Canis lupus familiaris: one gene and its partners. The main gene of each other region encodes a partner of the protein of the gene in region 2 in a complex. Links are inferred from orthologs where the notes say so. Each region holds a gene or a part of one and is shown on either strand. Other genes may lie near its edges.

The links. Proteins that work in one complex are often made in the same cells at the same time.
Region 1: AKAP13 (region 2) and PKN1 share a complex: the UniProt entries of both Homo sapiens proteins name them as parts of the signaling complex. The link is inferred for Canis lupus familiaris from reciprocal best matches to the Homo sapiens genes AKAP13 and PKN1.
Region 3: AKAP13 (region 2) and MAP2K3 share a complex: the UniProt entries of both Homo sapiens proteins name them as parts of the signaling complex. The link is inferred for Canis lupus familiaris from reciprocal best matches to the Homo sapiens genes AKAP13 and MAP2K3.

Annotation. Positions count from the first base shown.
Region 1 is NC_049241.1:48,562,317-48,565,551, forward strand, and holds part of PKN1 (serine/threonine-protein kinase N1), read right to left. Parts: intron 1,290-3,235; coding exon 1,210-1,289; intron 1,134-1,209; coding exon 1,058-1,133; intron 976-1,057; coding exon 884-975; intron 241-883; exon of another isoform or gene 1-240. UniProt on the Homo sapiens protein: PKC-related serine/threonine-protein kinase involved in various processes such as regulation of the intermediate filaments of the actin cytoskeleton, cell migration, tumor cell invasion and transcription regulation.
Region 2 is NC_049224.1:49,656,360-49,660,011, reverse strand, and holds part of AKAP13 (A-kinase anchor protein 13), read right to left. Parts: intron 3,185-3,652; coding exon 94-3,184; intron 1-93. UniProt on the Homo sapiens protein: Scaffold protein that plays an important role in assembling signaling complexes downstream of several types of G protein-coupled receptors.
Region 3 is NC_049226.1:42,970,353-42,973,584, reverse strand, and holds part of MAP2K3 (dual specificity mitogen-activated protein kinase kinase 3), read right to left. Parts: intron 729-3,232; coding exon 589-728; intron 1-588. UniProt on the Homo sapiens protein: Dual specificity kinase. Is activated by cytokines and environmental stress in vivo. Catalyzes the concomitant phosphorylation of a threonine and a tyrosine residue in the MAP kinase p38.

The DNA.
Region 1 (3,235 bases), on a different chromosome or scaffold from region 2:
CTCAATCTCAGGATTTCTGCTGGAATTATTAAGGAAGAAGGGCTAAAACTACTGGATGAGTCTTACACGGCTGGGGCAGGAGGCTATCTCTGTCCCCTTGAGAAGACTGCAAGCAAAGCCTACAAAGAGGAAAGTCGACTGAGAGATGTCATGTGAGCACCTGGATACAGACATGCCTGAAGGTAGTCCACTCCTGGACTTTTCTGATCCAGAGCAATAAATTCCTCTTTTGCTTAAGCCTATCTGAGTTGGGTTCCTGATCAACAAAAGGAGGTCAGAAAGCTTAGGGACAATCTCAGTGCCTCTACTGGGCCTTCTTGCAGGGGCCCAGGTAGTGCAGAATGCTCTAGATGCATCCTCTCACTTAATCCACCTGACCACCCTGCAAGAAAGGCATTATTACTCCCCTTTTATAGACAGGGAGGCTGTGGATCAGGAAGGCAAAGTGACTTCCCCAGACTCTCCAAGCACATTTGTGGCAGAGGTGATGTTTGAACCCAGGGCCCTGACTCAAAGCAGAGGTGGGCCATGGTGCCATTAAGGGTACAGGCTTCAGAGCCTGAGTCCCTAGGCTTGAATCCCCAACCTGCTGCTTACTGGCTTTGTGACTTTGGGCAACTCGCTCAACCTCTCTGTGCCATCAGCAGAATGGGAACCATAATGGTATTTACTTCATCAGTCTGTCGTGGAGGATGAATGAGTTCCTGAACATAAGGTGCATAGTGGGTGCTTTCTAAGAGTTAGTATCTTAAGTACTAGCTTAATTAGTGCCAGTGACTGTTATGAATCACTGTCACAGCAGCTCCAGAGAGGGCACTGCTCTGTCTCCCATCTCCCTGAAGAAAAGACTGAGGTTCTCAGAGGGCCTGGGCTGGGTCCCCACCTCTCCACCTCATCTCGGGCCACAATGTCGCCTTTCTTCAAAGCCTTGATGGCGAACAGCTCTCCGCTGGGCCGGAATTCAGAGAGCAGCACCTGGAACCACAAAGGGCAGCGATGACCTTAATGGTCAGCCCGGGAACTCCCTGTTCCCCTAACTCCTTGCCCCCTGCCTCACCTTTCCAAAGTGACCCCGGCCCAGCACCGCCAGGAATTTGAAATCCTCGAGGGTCAGGGGCGACTTCTTCAGAGGGCTGTGGAGAGAGGACACTGGTGGGGACAAGGACAGCAGGCAGGGGTGGTGGGTGGTGAGCAGGGGAGGGGTGTCACCTGCTCAGGGCGGGGCCTGGGGTCTCCTGGGTCTCTGAAGGCGGCTCCGGGGTGGTGGTAGTTTCCTGGATCGGGGAACTCTGTGGCAGAGAGAGGGAAGTCAGAGGCACCCATAACCACAATAGCCACCGAGGCTCCCGTCACCTCTCTGACCTCACTTCTCCTTCCACTTGCCCTCTTGCTCACTGCCCTCCAGGCACGCTATCCCTCCCCCCACGCCCTGAACACACCAAGCACGTTTCCAGCCCAGGGCCTTTGCATAGGCTATTCCCTCTACCTGGAATCCCCCCACCCCGACATCTGCACGGCTCCTCCCTTACCTCCTTCAGGCCATTCATGCAGATGTCGCCTTCACAGGTGGTCAGCTGACCATCATATTAAGTAACTAACGGACCCCCCACTCCCTGCCATACCCACACATACTCCCTGTCCCCTTTCACTGCTTTTTTTTTCATGCTATATTTTACCATTTACCTACATATTTCCTTTATGGGTATTTGCCCTAAAAGCTACTTAATTCTTTATACCACATGGGCATGTAACTTTGAAAAGAGTCAAAATTCATATTGTAAATGGAAGAGGGTGGGGGGGACTGGGTGGCTCAGTCAGTTAAGTGTCCAACTCTTGGTTTCGGCTCAGGTTGTGATCTCAGGGATGTGAGATCGCCCTGTATCCAGCTCCGCGCCCAGAAGGGAGTCTCCTCTCTCTCCCTCCCCCTTCCTCTGCACCCCCCCCCCAGTAAATAAATAAAATTTTAGAAAAAAATACATGGTGAATGGGAACATATTACGACTGGTTCATCATCATCTACTACAGACACAGTTCTAGAAATGCAATCAGTACAAGTAGGTGGCTGGTGGGAAAGACAGGCCTCTCGTGCCCCAGCCACCCTCCCCAGAACCAGCCACCATCAATGATTTCCTGAGTACCTTTCTAAACATATTCTATACCCACACAAGTAAAAGTGATGGGAGAGGCTCCATTTCACTTGTTTCCGCTATTGACAATATTCTAATCTTGCCTCCCCTACTGGACAACCTGTTATGGAAACCACTCTGTCCCAGCACTGGGAGACCAGCTTCATTTGTCACAGCCCACCTCGTCATTTACTTAGCACTGGCTCTCCTATGGATGGACGTTGCCGTTTCCACTTTTGCCCACACAAAGCCGCTGCAGTGAACTTTCTGGATGCGCACATGTGTGAGCGTCCAGGATTGGAACTCCTGGGTCAAGACGATGTCCATTTTTAGGGCAACCAGCTATGCCCTCCTAAGGAGATGCAACAATCTACATGCCTGTCTCCCTGTGCCCTGCCTGGCATTTGATGGTATTAAACTTTTGGATTTTGTTTTGCCAAACTCACCTGATGACCTATCTCATTATATTATTGTAAATAAAATACAGAAGCATATACTATCATTTTTTTAAAGATTTTTATTTATTTATTCATGAGAGACACAGAGAGAGGCAGAGATATAGACACAGGGAGAAACAGGCTCCCCTCAGGGAGCCCAATGTGGGACTCGATCCCCAGACTTGGGATCATGCCTTGAGCTGAAGGCAGATGCCCAGCTGCTGAGACACCCAGGCTTCCCCCCTGCTTCTTTTTTCCTATTTTTTCAAATGAGGTATAAAATGCATAAAATGTGAGCTGGGCCAAGGGGCCTGCTCTTATAAACATGTCCATCTGGGTATGCATTGCACGCAGCGGGGGTGGGTAAATGAGGTTTGGTACAGTACGTGAGCCGAGAATAGCTTTTACATTTTTAAGGGATTGGGGGGAAAAATCAAAAGGAGAGTAATATTTTGTGATCTGAGAAAGTGATAGGACATTCCAAGTTCAGTGGAGATCCCTGGGTGGCTCAGTGGTTTGGCACCTGCCTTCACTTCAGCCCAGGGCGTGATCCTGGAATCCCGGGATTCAATCCCACATCACGCTCCCTGCATGGAGCCTGCTTCTCCCTCTGCCTCTCCCTCTCTCACTGCATCTCTCATGAATAAATAAATAAAATCTTTAAAAAATAAA
Region 2 (3,652 bases):
ACCACAAGACACCTCCTTTTTACCAGCATATCTCAGAGGCTCTTAAGGGAGCTTATCCCTCAAACTGCTACATCTGTATTCTGCTTTGCTTACCTGTTGCTGGCTCAGATCCTTCAGTGGGCAGAACCATCTTCTCTGGCTCCTCCGTTTCAGCCAAATATCCTGCACAGTTACCAGGGGCTTCTTCACAGATACTGCCCATGTGTACAGTCTGCACAGGCAGGAAAGTGCTCACTTGCCCTGTAGAAGCACCCTCTGGCTGCTCAGTCACTGGATCGGACTCTGAAGGACGGGAGAGTGACATGTGACCGATCTCCCGCCCAGTGATCAGTGCTCCTGAGAACCTGACTTGATCTAGAACAGCCTCCACTATGCGACACGCAGTCTCTTCGATGGAGTCGGCTCCCTTGGGCAGAGGCACAGCACAAGGTAAAAGGGGAGTGCCCCTTGCCCTGCCCAGGGCCTGGTCACCACTACTTGAGAGTCCAGTCTCTGTGGGAAGCTCTTTGGCAAGAGGCTGCTCCAAGATGTGATGTGCTTCAGGATCCACCTGTGCCTTCCCGGAGTTGGCTAAGCCACAGTTGTTGTCTCGTTCCTTCCCCCTAAGGGGTACCATCTCTGGAGCTGCGGCACCCTGTAGGTCAGTCACACCTTCATCTGCTAAAGCTCCTGGCAAACCCAGGATCATATTCTTCTCCTGGCTCAAGACTTCTGGAATTGGGAGATCTTGGGCATTATGTAATATAGCCTTTCTTCTGGCCCCCGCATTACCTTGTAAAGCATTAACCACGGCAACATCTAACTGCACATTTCCACTCACCTCATGAGCAGTGTTTTTACCTTGGGATTCAGGGTTTTGCACTCCAACATCCAGAGCAAAAGATCCATTGCGAGAAAGAGCCTCAGACCCATCTGGCAACAGATCTGGCAACAGAGCAGAGCTGCTCTGCTCTGCACCCAAAGCTTCCTGGCTTGGGTCTGCAGCCAGACTTGCTCCCAGTGGCACCAGGCTCTGTGCAGCCCCACCTTCAGTCAGCAGCGAGACTGGTGGGGCCACTTCCTTGTTATGCTCCGTTTCTGCATTCAGGCAGGCTGAGGGTGTGCCCAATGAATTACCGCGCTCAAGTGCTCTCTCCTCAGCACAGGCAGCTGAGCCAGGCTCTCCACAGAATCCCAGTGCCTCCTGTCCAGGAGGTGGTGTTCTCTGCTCTTCCTGAAATGTTCCTGAGGAATGAGTGTCTTCCTTGAGAAAGGAACAAGCTGCTGCTTTATCCCTGCCATCTTGTCCCTGAGCTTCGGAGCTTTCTGGAACCACCAGATTTTTTCCTTCTTCAGTCAAAATGGAATCTGAGGCCATAATGGCCTTACCTGCACATAACAGAGAAGAGTCAGCAGCCCCCTTGATGTCCAGAACTTCAGGGGCTGCTGAGAGGCAGACACTCCCATGTTCCCCACCAAGTCCCATGGGACTTGTATTCCCCATGCTGGGCTGAAGCTGGACAGCAAGGGAGGGTGTGGATAGGCCTGTGGCACCGTCTTCTAATGGCTGTTTATCAGGATCATTTGAATCTCTGCCTGGGCCATCTCTACCATCTGCAGCTGTATGTAGTTCAGGAGTTGCTATTCCTTTTTCTTTCTGGGAGGGGAAAAGAAAAAGCGCGTCATCTTTGGTTACTGATTCACTGCCTGGACTGCTTGCCAGAGAAAAAGTCTTGTCTGATGTCACTGCTTGGTCTGGTACCAGTTCTTTCTTGGCTTTGGGGACAACTGCCTGTGGATGCACCTCAAGCATATTTGTTGAAGATGTTCCTAATTTCAAATCTTCTCCCTGGCCTTTTTTATCTGAAACTTCAACAGGACAAAACTCTACCTGTTCCTGGGTATCTCTCATAGGGCCAGGGGTGGCTGCATTAGCCTGTGGACCTTCACAGCAGAGGGTAAGGGGGGGATGCTGTGTGGGGGGTAGTCCTGGAGTGGTGCTTTCAGGCTGGGTAACTATGCCATCACAGTATTCTGCAGCCAGCATACCACTAGAAGTCACTGAGCTCTGCCCACATGCAAAGGCAGCACATGGTGTGCCCCCTCTAGTTGTAGAACAGATGGGTGATCTGCTGGTTTGGCTTTGAATGTGAGATGACTCAGGTTCTGATTTCTGGTTTGGCGCGTCTTTTTGTGGCCCGGGAAACGTTAGATCAGAGGATGATGCTGCCTCACTTGTGCCTGTCAAGGGAGCATAAAGTTCGAGTCCATCTGAAGTCGTGTCTTCTGCAGCAGCTGGAATTACCAGGGAGCTCTGATCCATGGGAGCCCCAGCACTCCCTTCACAACTTCTTGACGCTTCTGTTTCTGCAGTTTTGACAGGGGAGGCTTCTCCATTACTAAATGCAAGCAAAGACTCAGCAGGTTTGTCACCATCCGGGGAACTGGTGGCAGAGACACAGTTTGGAACACTGGCTTTATCTGCAGTCTGACTTGTGACTTTCACATCAGAGGATCCATCTGTGATGATATTAGAGTTTTCCAGCTTTTCCTTTGTACTTTCCCTGACTTCAAGCACATTCTTCTGGATGGCAGCATGTGCATTCACAGGACCACTTTCCATCTCCCCTGGAGTCACTGGGATGCCGGCTGCCAGTTCACATCCAGAGAAATGCTGAGTGGGAGCGGTGGCCGGCTGCATGCCCACATCTCCCTGCAGGACGCTGTCTCCAGTGTCCAGAGACACCTGGTCTGTGGCCAATGCAGAGGATTTTGTTCCAGTTTCTCCATTTCTGATTCCACAGGGTGGAAGGGTTCCCATGCCCTTTCCTCCACAAGCAGGCATGCTCGGACGGTGGCTGCTGGGATCAGACATGGTTCCACAGTCCACAGTAAGCGATGGCTCCGCCTCTTCCCCTTCTTTCTCCACGCCTTTAGTTTCCTTCTTACAGGAACAGTCTGTGTTCTCTTCCTTAGCCACACATGAAAAATCAGAGGAACCTTCAATCTCCCCAACAGTGCTCCCCTGGGCGCATGGAGAGCTCTCAGGGTCCTCAGGAAGAGAAGAGTGCAGCTGGCTGTCCCTGGGATCTGATGTGCAGCAAAGAAACTGGCCATCTGAATCTTGGGCACTGGGCACACTTGAAGGATCCTGTGCTGTCACCATTAAGGGCATAGGATTGTCCATCTGCTTCAGGTTTGTTTTCTAGGAGGAAATGAAAGATATCTGTAAAAACTTCCCATGGGAAAAGATGTCATTGACACCGATAAACAAAACTTCTGCTGCAGAGAACTCACTGCCATTCCAGCCCTCTGAAGATCACATGATAAGCTGACCTAAAGAAAATAAGTACATTTTCTCTTGTTCCTGATATCATTTTCCTCTCTTGTAGCTACATATCCACTGGAATGATAAAATGGTCAAGGATATGCAAGACGGCTATTCCCTAAACTATGAACTTATTTTAGAAAAGTAGATGAAAATCAGGCCTCAAAAATCTTGTTTTACAAAAGCACAGCGCCCATCTTCAGCTAAGAAAGATATTTTTATAGGGTCTTGAGAGGAGTAGAAGTAATTCCATCCCACCTCACGTATACAAGTACCAGGAAATCCCAAGCAGTTTGGTCAATTCTCGCCAATATCAAGGTGTAGGCAGATGCTCCTGTGCTCTAA
Region 3 (3,232 bases), on a different chromosome or scaffold from region 2:
CTTCACCCTTCCCTCTCTCCCTCCCTCTCAAAGAAATAAATCTTAAAATAACAAAACAAAACAAAACAACTCCAAGAGTTGGTCAGAAGAATTTACTTTGCATTACCACATATCTCATCCCTCTGCAGTTACGCACTTCTTGTTTGATGTAATTATGGGCAGGGAACATGACCTGGATGACTCTGCCTTCTTCCTTTTCCCTGTTTCCTTTTCAATCTCAAACATATTTTTTAAATAGAGCTCCCATGGGCATTCTTTACCTTGGTACAAAGTTCTACGCGTCAATAAAGCAACTCTGTCTGCTACTCAAGTCCCCCGTCTGCTCTTTGTTTTCTTTTCCTGGCTGCCTGGTCTGTCCGTCTCTAGAAGGACTATTAAAATCTCCCCAAGGACCATAGTTTGCCACAGTTTCCTTATGCTCTATTAATGCCTTGCATATTCTGATGCCATGCTGTTTGGTGGTTATTTGCTAACGGAGGAGGGGACTGGGCACCAGGAGGAGCTGGAATTGGGCCAGAGTAGGGAAGGGTGCCACCTGGGGCTTGGGGGGGGGGGGGTCTCAGAGCCAGTGCAGGGCTGCAGACTCACCACTGTGCAGTGAAGTCCACGAACTCAGGAGAGAAACGGTCGGCCGGGAGCTGGGGAGATGGCTCTTCCACCACCTGCTTCAGCTGCTGGAACGGAGTCCCCCAGGATTCATACGGAAACCGTAGAATGGCCATCTCAATCTGCAGTGGGGGCGGTAACTCTGGTCAGATGCGCACACACTCTGCCCCCAGGAGCAGGGCATTTGGGGAACCTGTCTGGCCTGGCTTGCCACCCAAAGCTGGGCCACAAGGCAGGTTGAGGGGCAGACACATGACATCAAAACGAAGATGAAAGCCGGGGGAACAGCAAGCGTTGCTTCCTCTGACCCAGCCTGCACACACTGGCTCAGGAAGCAAATCCAGCCCGGAGTTGTGACTGGTTTGAGCATCATCAGGCTTTCAAACAACCTAAATTCAGAAGGCTTTACATAAAAACCCAAGTGCCAGCTAATCTGGAAAAATCAGAGGCGCTGACAGTCCCCCAGGGCAGCAGTCGGCAAAGGCGGCAAAGGCGTGTGGGACAGGCAGCAGCTTCCCCGCTCACCACACGCCACCCCTCCCTAACGTCTCCACAGGGTCTTAAGTATCTGCTGCCGTTTATTTGGGTAGTTGTCATTATGCCAGAGCAGGCAAAGGGGAAATGAAATTATCCCCGTCAGCCTGCCTCTCCCCGAAGCTGGAGATGCTGAGACCTGCGTTTGGTCAGCTCCTTTACTTTGGCAATGGCCCCCTGGGGCCCCATCAGACACTGAGGTTTGCAGGTGCTCCTTCTACTCCCCCCAACCCTCATCAGTGGCCAGCAGGACCCATCTCCAAGGCCCCCTCCTCCGGGAAGACTTCCCCCTCCCTGCGGACCCCCTGGACTCCCTGCAGGGGACACTGAGGCCGCCTGTCCTCTGCACCCGTGCCAGACCCCTAGCCACATGCCTTGCCTACAGTTGGTGGGAAGTCATTTGTGGAAAATACCAGCTATCTAACAACAAACTCTGGGTTGATTCTGACTGCTGAGTTTAAAAAAAAAAAAAAAAAACCAGGTCAGCTCAGGCCCCCCGCCTGAAACAGCAGAGAGACTTCTCACTGACAGGCCATAATCACCATAATGAACACAAGAGACCTCAGCTCAAACAAATGCTTCGTGTTGGCAACTGGCGCCTGAACAGCTTACTAATTATTGTGCTAAGAAAGGGCCTTCCCATTAGGCTAAAGGCCCCTTTCTAGCCAAGATATAAACACACCCCACAGATGGAGGGTGTGCAAAATGCGGCAGGCACGCTTGTGATCTGGTGTGGGGTTTCACAGGACAAATTCAGGATGCTGTTTCCTAGAATTGTCACCGATTCCAAGTAGCACAAGTTAGGATCCTGTGTGGGTTTCCAGGAAAGGACCTAGGGTCCTACCAGACTTACAATTAGGAAAACAGAAAATTGTCCAGACTCTTGACCCCGTAATCCATTTTCCTGGTAATTTTTTCTAATGAGCTCAAAAGATGAAAAACAAAACAAAACAGGCTCTGGGCAGAAAAATGCATGGTATGGTGTGATCCGTAACAGTGAGTATTAGGAAGCAGTCTAAACACCCAGCACCAGGGACTGGCCTGCCACGGGGCGGCTGAGTCTCAGCCATGACCATGAGGGCCATGCTCGGAGACCCCACTCAGGAATTCATGCGATCAGCACTTGACCAAATACTTGTTATGGTCAAGAGCCTTCCCGAATATCATCCCATGTCTTTATGTTGGTGGCTGTGGTCAAGTGCCCACAGAGGGCTACCCGGCGGGGGTTCTGAAAGAGAACCACCGAGAGGGGCAGGCCTGGCACCCAGTGCCTCAGAGGTTACTCCTCCAGGTCAACCAGGGATTTCAGATGGAAGGGAAAAAAAAACAGAAACAAATAAAACGTCCCACATTAGGGACTGGCTGTGTAGCTGGTGGCAGATGGTTGTGGCGTCCCTTGAAGAGATGCCTACAGGGGTTTCTAACAATCCAGAGAAACATGAGTGATGTGATGCTAAGTGAGAAAAGCAAAATAAAAACCATAGATGTTTTTTAGAAAGAGGCAAAATGTCTAGAAGGAAATGCACGGTGTTGGCACTCGATGGTAGGGAGAAGGGGCTATGTGTCTTTGAATGGAACCATGATGATTTTTTTTCTTCTTTTTACTTTCTCTCTGTGTTTTTAGAGAATGTTTCTATTACTTTTGTAACTTTTGGGGGAAATACCTAACCTCCACCATAGCAGCCAGTCTCCTACGCCGCCAACACAGCTTCTCCTATGTGTGCATGCTAGTACCCATCCAGACACAGCCTCTATCTCCCCTTGACCCTGGCATGGCCTATGACACTTTGACCAACATAATTAGAAGTGACACTGTGCCAGTCCTGGGACAAGCAGTTCAGAGCACTTCTCTCATGGAAGCCAGGCACCCCAAGACTTCAGTAACCCTCGGCACCACGCTCTGAGGAAGCTAGCGGGCAGCCAGCCCGGAGGAAGTCACGTGGAGGCCCCACATCTCTAAAGCCTTCTCAGACCTTCCAGCCCAGCCCTGACCCCAGCCAGAGCCAGGTGGCATAGAAGAACTGCCTGGCTAGTCCAGCCCGGAATGCAGAAATGTGAGAAACAATGAACTATTGGTGCTTTACGTCTCCAG